2 linked regions of the Cricetulus griseus genome follow. The protein of the gene in region 1 binds, or shares a complex with, the protein of each later gene. Links are inferred from orthologs where the notes say so. Each region holds a gene or a part of one and is shown on either strand. Other genes may lie near its edges.

The links.
Region 2: Bdp1 (region 1) and Brf2 share a complex: the UniProt entries of both Homo sapiens proteins name them as parts of the TFIIIB complex. The link is inferred for Cricetulus griseus from reciprocal best matches to the Homo sapiens genes BDP1 and BRF2.

Annotation. Positions count from the first base shown.
Region 1 is NC_048595.1:318,849,062-318,853,314, forward strand, and holds the start of Bdp1 (transcription factor TFIIIB component B'' homolog), read right to left. Parts: upstream 2,841-4,253; 5' UTR 2,643-2,840; coding exon 2,431-2,642; intron 1-2,430. Other genes in the region: Serf1a (small EDRK-rich factor 1), read left to right, coding at 3,411-3,515. UniProt on the Homo sapiens protein: General activator of RNA polymerase III transcription. Requires for transcription from all three types of polymerase III promoters. Requires for transcription of genes with internal promoter elements and with promoter elements upstream of the initiation site.
Region 2 is NW_023276807.1:56,707,658-56,711,710, reverse strand, and holds the start of Brf2 (transcription factor IIIB 50 kDa subunit), read right to left. Parts: upstream 2,818-4,053; 5' UTR 2,710-2,817; coding exon 2,556-2,709; intron 1,537-2,555; coding exon 1,477-1,536; intron 288-1,476; coding exon 1-287. UniProt on the Homo sapiens protein: General activator of RNA polymerase III transcription. Factor exclusively required for RNA polymerase III transcription of genes with promoter elements upstream of the initiation sites.

The DNA of each region.
Region 1 (4,253 bases):
ACAGACATGCACACAGGCAAAACACCAATGCACATTTAGATAGATAGATAGATAGATAGATAGATAGATAGATAGATAGAAAGAATAGATAAATGATAAATTTTAAAGGGGGATATAAATCAAGGCTATAAAAATCTTTTATCATATTTTATCATTAGTTCTATATAAAATTAAAGCTACCTTGGAATAGTCTCTCAAAAAGACTTTTAATTTAAACTCTTTTTTAAGGCTGAAGATAGATAAAACTTAATGGTAGATTGCTTGTCTAATATGCACAAAGCTCTGGGGTTCAGTCTCTAGCACTCTCTATCTAAAAACTATAGCCCTTAAAACAATATAACATATCAGTCACCAGCACTTTATATGTTAAATGCATACTCTGTTGGTTTCTACAACTAGAAAAAAAAACAACAACAACAAATAAAAATGAAAACAAAATGGTCTCATCAAATAAGAAAAATGGACTTGGGATGCAGCTAAGCTGGTAGAGTGCTTGGTCATCCTGAAGAGTCCTGGCTTCCATCCCCAGCACCACATAAGCCAGGGCACAGTTGCACACATCTGTCATCTCAGCAGGTAAAGCAGGAGGATTAGAAGTTTAAGGGCATCTTCTCATGAACAATAAGTTCTAGGCCAACCTGAGCTACAAGAAAGGAAGGAAGGAAGGAAGGAGGGAGGAAGGGAGGGAGGGAGGAGGCAGGGAGGGAGGAGGCAGGGACTGACAGAAGGAGGAAGAGAGGAAGGAAGGAAGGAAGGAAGGAAGGAAGGAAGGAAGGAAGGAAGGAAGGAAGGAAGGAAAGAAGTTGCTAGGCATGGTGGCACATGCTTTTAATCCCATCATTCAGGAGGCAGAAGCAGTTGGATTTCTTTGTTCCAGGCAAGTCAAAGCTACATAGTAAAATCCTGTCTATAAATAAATAAATAAATAAATAAATAAATAAATAAACAAAACAAACAAGCAAAACACAAGTGCGAGTGTGTGTGTGTGTGTCTCTGTGTGTGTGTGTGTGTGTGTGTGTGTGTGTGTGTGTGTGTGTGTGTGTGTGTGTGTGTAAATAATCTAGATGTCTCAGGACTGTGGCTTAAGGGCAATTTACAAAATATCAATCATAATGCATTCCTACATAGTTAACAAAAATCTCCAAACTCAGCCAGGCATTAGTGGCGTACGCCTTTAATCCCAGCACTCAGGAGGCAGAGACAGGAGGATCTCTGTGAGTTTGAGGCCAGCCTGGTCTCCAGAGTGAGTGCCAGGATTGGCTCCAAAGCTATACAGAGAAACCCTGTCTCGAAAAACCAAAAAAAAAAAATCTCCAAACCCTTTTGATAAGTGACCAATACTGGTATTTTCATTCTAAGTAGAAATTTCCAGACAAATTCAAGTAAGAGACTTGGAAATTATAGTGAATCATTGAAATATCAAAATAACACATAGCACCAACTCAGATCAACAGAAGAAATGTTGCTATGAAAACATAATTTGTACCATCTCCCTGTCACTCAATGTGATTAGTAGTTTATTGGCTTCTTCCTCTGTGTATTATAAAAACTGCAATCATCATATTAACCTGTCACATCTTTAATTTGTACCATCACCTTTCTTTGTTTATTTGGTTTTTCTGACACCATCTCACTACATAGCCCTGACTATTCTAGAACTCACTATGTAGACCAGTCTGGCCTAGAACTCACAGAGATCCATCTGCCTCTGCCTCTCGATTACTGCTAGGACTAAATGCATGTGACACTACATCTGGCAAAACATTTTATACAATCACATCTGATCTTACAATACTGCCCCAAAGGAAGTACTATTAACTACATCTAGCAGGAGTAAATATTCTCTGAGGACAACCTACTTTAAGTTGTTACAGCAGTAGTCCTAAATTCAAACGTGGTATTTGAAGCTAAAGTGAGGCGTCGTAATTCACGGAACATAGTAACTAAAAAGCAGGGCACACTCATAACAAAATAAGCAACCTGAGTCTCTTCCCCTTTTGACAAACGCTGCAAGTGTGGCTCAGTGGCGGGGCGTTTGCCTAACACGCGTGAGGTGCTGGGTTCCTGGGTTCAATCGGATTACCGCGTGGAAGGAGGGGGGAAAATTCAACAACACTGGTGCTCTCCTTTTAAAATAAATATTCACAAATGAAAACCCCGTGTGAAGTACTCCAGGAGAATTACTTAAATTTCGAAGTGCCAGTGTGCCTATTCTTGACTTCAGAATTGTGAAACCAGGGTTCCCATCCATGTAAAACACGGTCTCCTCGAGAACAGTGACAGAATCAGTAGTCGCTTCCTCTGATCGGGGAATTAAACTGCAGCTAGGAGTGGTTTCATCCAGCTCAAACCTAAGGCTTGCTGGAGGCGAGGTACTCCGTGATATAAATTCCAACAGTTCGACATCATGCTCGTTCTACAAGACCTTACCTGCTCCCAGGCGCCTTTTCCTGGGGCTCCGCTCCTCCGGAATCCACCGCAGGCACATCTGTAGGCTCCGCTGGCTTCGGAGCGGGCTCGGTGGCAGGCTCGGGAGGCCTGGGAGCCTCCGGTCCACGCTGGGGATTGGGAGCGGCGGAGCCCCTGGCGCCTCCACCAGGCCTGACATTCGGCTTCACGCTAAGGCGTGCCCTGCGGAACATGGCGGAGCCAGGGGACCGGCAGCGGCGGCTCCACGGCCGCGCTCAGCCCAGAGCCCCGGCCGCTGCCCGAAGGCTGGGACCCTCGCCCTGCCACAATCACCAGCCAAGCGCTGGCTACCGCAAGTTCGCGGCCCCTCCGCCTCCTCCGCTCTCCCGCCACCGCCTCCTCTTCATGACCCTGCCACACTAATAGCTAAGTTTCTCCTCCCCGCGTCCCGGCTCGCAAAAAGGCGCCGGAAACCATGACGTAATCACACGGCGCCACTGACTGGCGTCACACTGCGGGCGCCGGGAACTATAGCAACTGCCACGCTCCGTAGCATCGGTTGTCTGTGAAGCCGATTTTTTGACTCGAAGACAGATATTCTTTCTTCTGTAAGATCTCGGGTGTTGTTGCAAAGAGAGTGCGGAAACAACTCGATCCTCCGGCTCAAACTTGTAAAACGTCCCCCACCCCCATGCGCGGTGCTGGAATTTGAACCCAGGACCCATAGTATACTCCAGCATGCATGGTACCAGGGAACTTCACCCACAGCCCACTTAACTGAATTTTTATCGACTCTTTTATTTGTTTTGTTTTTTTTTCTTTTTTTTGGTTTTTCGAGATAGGGCTTCTCTGTGTAGCTTTGTAGACCAACCAGGCTGGCCTTGAACTCACAGAGATCCGCCTGCCTCTGCCTCCCAAGTGCTGAGAATAAAGGTGTGTGCCACCACCTCCTGGCTTTTATGAAATATTAAGGAGTTCTCGAGAAATCAAATTGTGCAAGAATGCAGAGCCTGATGGTGCATGCCTACTATCCCAGCACTAGGATTGCACTGGAGAGACCTTTCCCTCGAGCAGAGCTAAGCTGCTACGCTTATATTGACTTTGTGGTATGATAGTCCTTGACTCCCGACTGTCAGGATCCCTTTGTATCCAAGCTCCAACGCTTACAGGAAAGTCAGTTCTATCCAGGCCAATTTCCTGGCCAACTAGACTATCTAGCAAGACATTATCTCAAAGACAATAAAATAAAATAAAAATAAAAATGAAATAGTATGAGAGCAGTGCCAGCAACGTATCACCAGAGCATAGAAACTGTTTTACGTTTTTGAGACAGGGTCTCTTATAGCCAAGACTTACCTTCAGTTCTTGGTCCTCCTGCCTCCACATGCTGAGTGCTGAGATTACAGTCACGCATGTGCTACCAAACCCTACTAGAAAGAAAAAAGTTTGAGTTTGGAGGGGGTATGTTATGTGTGGCTGCCCAGGGAAGCCAGAGTTACAGGTGTTTCTCAGACTCCTGATGTAGCTGCTGGGAACCCAAAAGGGCCCACTAGAAGAGCAGGAAATGAGTTTAACCATTGAGCCATCTCTGCGGAGAAATTTTAAATTAAGTAAAACAATGTAAAATTCTTACTTGAAAAATTGCACATGGCTGCCTATTGAAAGAGAAGCTATGAAACACTTCATAGGAAGACATTCACTATATATGCTTTTGTATACTATAATGTGGACATATTGCCTATCAAAATTATTGTATTATATAAATTTTGCCCATTAGTGTATTTTTTCTTTGATTTTTTTATTTTTTCTTAATGTGAGTATTCTTAATCTGCTTCCAGAGATAG
Region 2 (4,053 bases), on another chromosome or scaffold:
CAGAGCTGGCACATCCAGCCCCAGAAGCTTCACTAGCTGCATGTAGGTGCCTGAAAACACATCCAGATCGGCATACAACAGGGTGCAGATGGTTCCCATGGTCAGGGGCCAGTTGTGCTGCCGGCAGGTGATTAGAACACAGCATCCAACTAACACCTCCTTCTTCTGTAGCCTAGCATCTCGGATGCCAGGCAGCTGATAGGCCCTTTGATAGTAGGAGATTGCTGTATCCTCGAACGTGGGGGGCAACTTCAGAATTCGACACAGGTCTCTCACTCGACGGAGATCTAGGGAAACACATCACAAGCAGAGAGGTCAAAGGAAGTTATGTATACCTACTAGCAAGTTCGTCTAGGGCTTAGTTTAGTTCTGTTAAACTTGCCATATATAGCATATGTGCAAATAATATGCCCTTCTGTCCTAATGGGACACTTGATGTGTTTTGTAGTGCTGCAGCTAGACCCCAGATCCTCAAGCATGCTGGGCAAACTCTTTATCGATGAGTTGTAGTCTTAGCCCCTTAGAACTGTAGTCCTTCCAAAGGTACAGAAAATTTGTGGGAAGGTCACATTCAATCCACTACCTTTATATGAGCTATTGCAACTTATAGCCAGGGCAAAGTTTATTTATTTTTTGGTACGAGGGATTGAACCCGAAGCCTTACACATGATAGGTGCATACTCTGTCACTAACCTACCCCCTAGCTCCAAAACCAAGCTTTTACTCAGGTTTCTTGAGGCTACTTTAAGCCCCGTGCAGACCCAAACCTTCACCTACCTCTATTCCTTTTGGTTTTAAGACACACACACTGTGAAAACTGGGTTGACCTCAAAGTCTATCATCCTGCTTCACCTCCTGAGTTCTGGGACTGTAGGCATGCACCCCATCAGTAACTGTTTTCTTCTAGCCTATATCTTTTATTGGTGATGCTGACAACAAGGACACACACAGATAGACTAGGATATCAAGACAATTTTCTTTAAAGCCACTGTATCATAAAAAGTTGATTCTCGGAGCTGGAGAGATGGCTCAGAGGTTAAGAGCACTGACTGCTCTTCCCGAGGTCCTGAGTTCAATTCCCAGCAACCACATGGTGGCTCACAACCATCCGTTATGAGATCTGGTGCCCTCTTCTGGTGTGCAGATATACATGGAAGCAGAATGTTGTATACATAATAAATAAATAAAATCTTTAAAAAAAAAAAAGTTGATTCTCTGGGCTGGAGGGATGGCTCAGCAGTTAAAAGCTCTTGCTGCTCTAGCAGGGGACCTGAGGTTCAGTTCCCAGCACCCAATGGCAGCTCACAACCACCTATAACTCCAGTTCCACTGGTGCACATACATACATACATACATACATACATACATACATACATGCATGCAATTCCAACACGCATACAAATATTAAAACAAAACATTAAAGAGTCACATAAATAAAGCAAAGCTGAAATTTCAGGGCAAGAGGTTGATTCTCACCTCGTTGCTGGCTGCGACTAACTTGTTCATTTTCCCCGGTGCTTCGAGAATAGGTCACTTCTGTAAAATAATAAACAACAAATAGCACATTTAGCCTCTGTTCATTAATCATCTCCTTGCCCCCTGACCACATAAGACCAGGGAGATTGCAAATTATTGTTTGTCTACTTCCCATCTCAGAGAAGATACCCATCCATGCAAAAGTAAAGGTTCACCAGGCCTTTTTTTTTTTTTTTTTTAAGACAGGGTTTCTATGTGGCTTTGGAGGCTGTCCTAGAACTCACTCTGTAGACCAGGCTGTCCTCGAACTCAGAGATCCACCTGCCTCAGCGTCCCGAGTGCTGGGATTAAAGGCGTGCGCCACCAACGCCCAGCCTCACCAGGCTTTTTAAGTAGTCAAATGGCACTGAAGACAGATAGTATAGAACTATATGAAGCAGCGCTGGTGATTCCACTTTTCCAGTTAGTTCTCTGTTACATTCCATTTTGAGGGCTGCACTAGTCAAGGACTAGCACAGAGATTCTCAATCTTCTAATGCTGTAAAACCCCCCCCAGCCATAAAAATTAGTTCCGCTGCTACCTCATAACTGTAATTTTGCTAGTGTTATGAATTAGAATGTAAATAGCTGATATGCAGGATAGTCTTAGGCGACTCTGGCGAAAGGGTTACTCGATCTCCCAAAAGGGCCAAAGAGAACCGGTGGACTAAACAACAGAGTGGAAGGAGGGGAGGAGCATTTTGCCAATTAATGCTAAAAACTACTATGGGATAATGGTTCGTGCTGTATTCCCAAATAATTTAGCGACAAGCCTTCGACACTGACCAGGTCTAACGCGATGGGTGAAACCTTTTCCGTTTCATTCATTCACCATTCAGTATACCCACTAAATGCCAGACACCATATGAGGTATTGGAGAAAATAGATGACTAGCACCCTCCTCCAGCTAATTTACTTTAAACGAGCTTCTCCCACATTTAACTGTGCGCATGACCAAGAAAAGGGGGGAGCTAGGAATCTGGGTTTAAGCATCCCACCGCCCCAGGCTATCCCCAGGGCCCGAGGACAGGTCCCAGTACCTCTGAGGTTGCCCTCGTCGTTGAAGGTGGTAGTAAGGACCCCTTCTGTGACCACACAGCCGCAGTCGGAGCACACCAGCTGGCTCTGAGAATAATGCGAATCTTCTACGAGCTCAGAGGAGCCGCAGTCCGGGCAGCGGCTTCCGCTCGGCATCTCACCATTTGTCAGTGCTGCAGTACCATCGGGACAACCCCTACTACGAGCGTATAGCAACTGTCCGGCGGCAGTGAAGTGGAGGGGACCTTATTCTGGCTGCACCTTTCTCTTCCGGTCGACTGGACAACGGGCTACTGGTTTGCTCCGCCCCGTAGCCGCTTTCTGCTTCCGATCTCGTCTATGGACTCGGGTGGAAACATGAGCTAGAAAGAAAGGTTCCTGGGCTTAATTGTGTAGCAGGTTCTTTGGTGTCTTGAAATTGGGATACGTTGGGAATTGACACATGGCAGAGATAAGGAATTGTTGTCTACGGAACACTATTTAAAATTATTTATGTATTATTTGTTTATTTATTATGTATACAGTGTTCTGTCTGCATGTATCCCTGCAGACAAGGAAGGGGCACCGGATCTCATTACAAATGGTTGTGAGCCATCATGTGGTTGCTGGGATTGAACTCAGGATCTCTGTAAGTCCAGCTAGTGTTCTTAAGCTCTGTGCCATCTCTCCAGCCCCCCAAAACACTGTTTTTTAAATATCATATAATATATTATTTGTTTTAAGACTGTCTTGCTTATGTAGGCCAGGCTGACCTAGAATACTAGGACTTCTGCCTGATTCCCCCAACCACCCCATTATTGTGTGTTTTTCGAGACAGGGTTTGTCTGTGTAGCTTTGGAGCCTGTCCTGGAACTCAGTAGACCAGGATGGTCTTGAACTCACAGAGATCCTGCCTCCCAAAGGTTGCGATTAAAGGCCTGCGCTGCCACCAACACCGGGCCAACCTGATTCCTTTTTGAAAGTCAAATGGAATCAGTTTGTCCCTTCCTCTATAGTAAGGAATGTTAAATTTGACCATAGTAGAAAACACATTACTCTGCACCGAGGAAGCAATAATTGTGCTCTGTTTTAAGGAACTGCCTCCCCAAATGACTTGCTTTCCCTCACTCAAAGTCTATTTTGTTTTTGTTTGTTTTCAACTATAAAATAAGGGAATCGAACCTGACAGGATGGTACACACCTATAATCCTTGGGAGATGGAAGCAAGAGGATCAGAAATTCAAGGTCATTTTCTTCTATATAACTAGTTGGAGGCCAGATGGGGCTACATCAGATCTTGTCACAAATAAATCAAAATAACTGGGTATGATGGCATACTCCTTTAATCCTACCCTTTGAGAGACAAAGAGTTTGAGGCCAGCTTGGTCTACTTGTCAGTTCAGGCCCAGCCAGAGCAACACAGTGAGAACCTGTCTCTAACTAACCAACTAACTAACTAACTAACTAACTAAATAAATAAATAAAACTGTTGAATTAACATCTTGAGTGGTAGACTTAGCT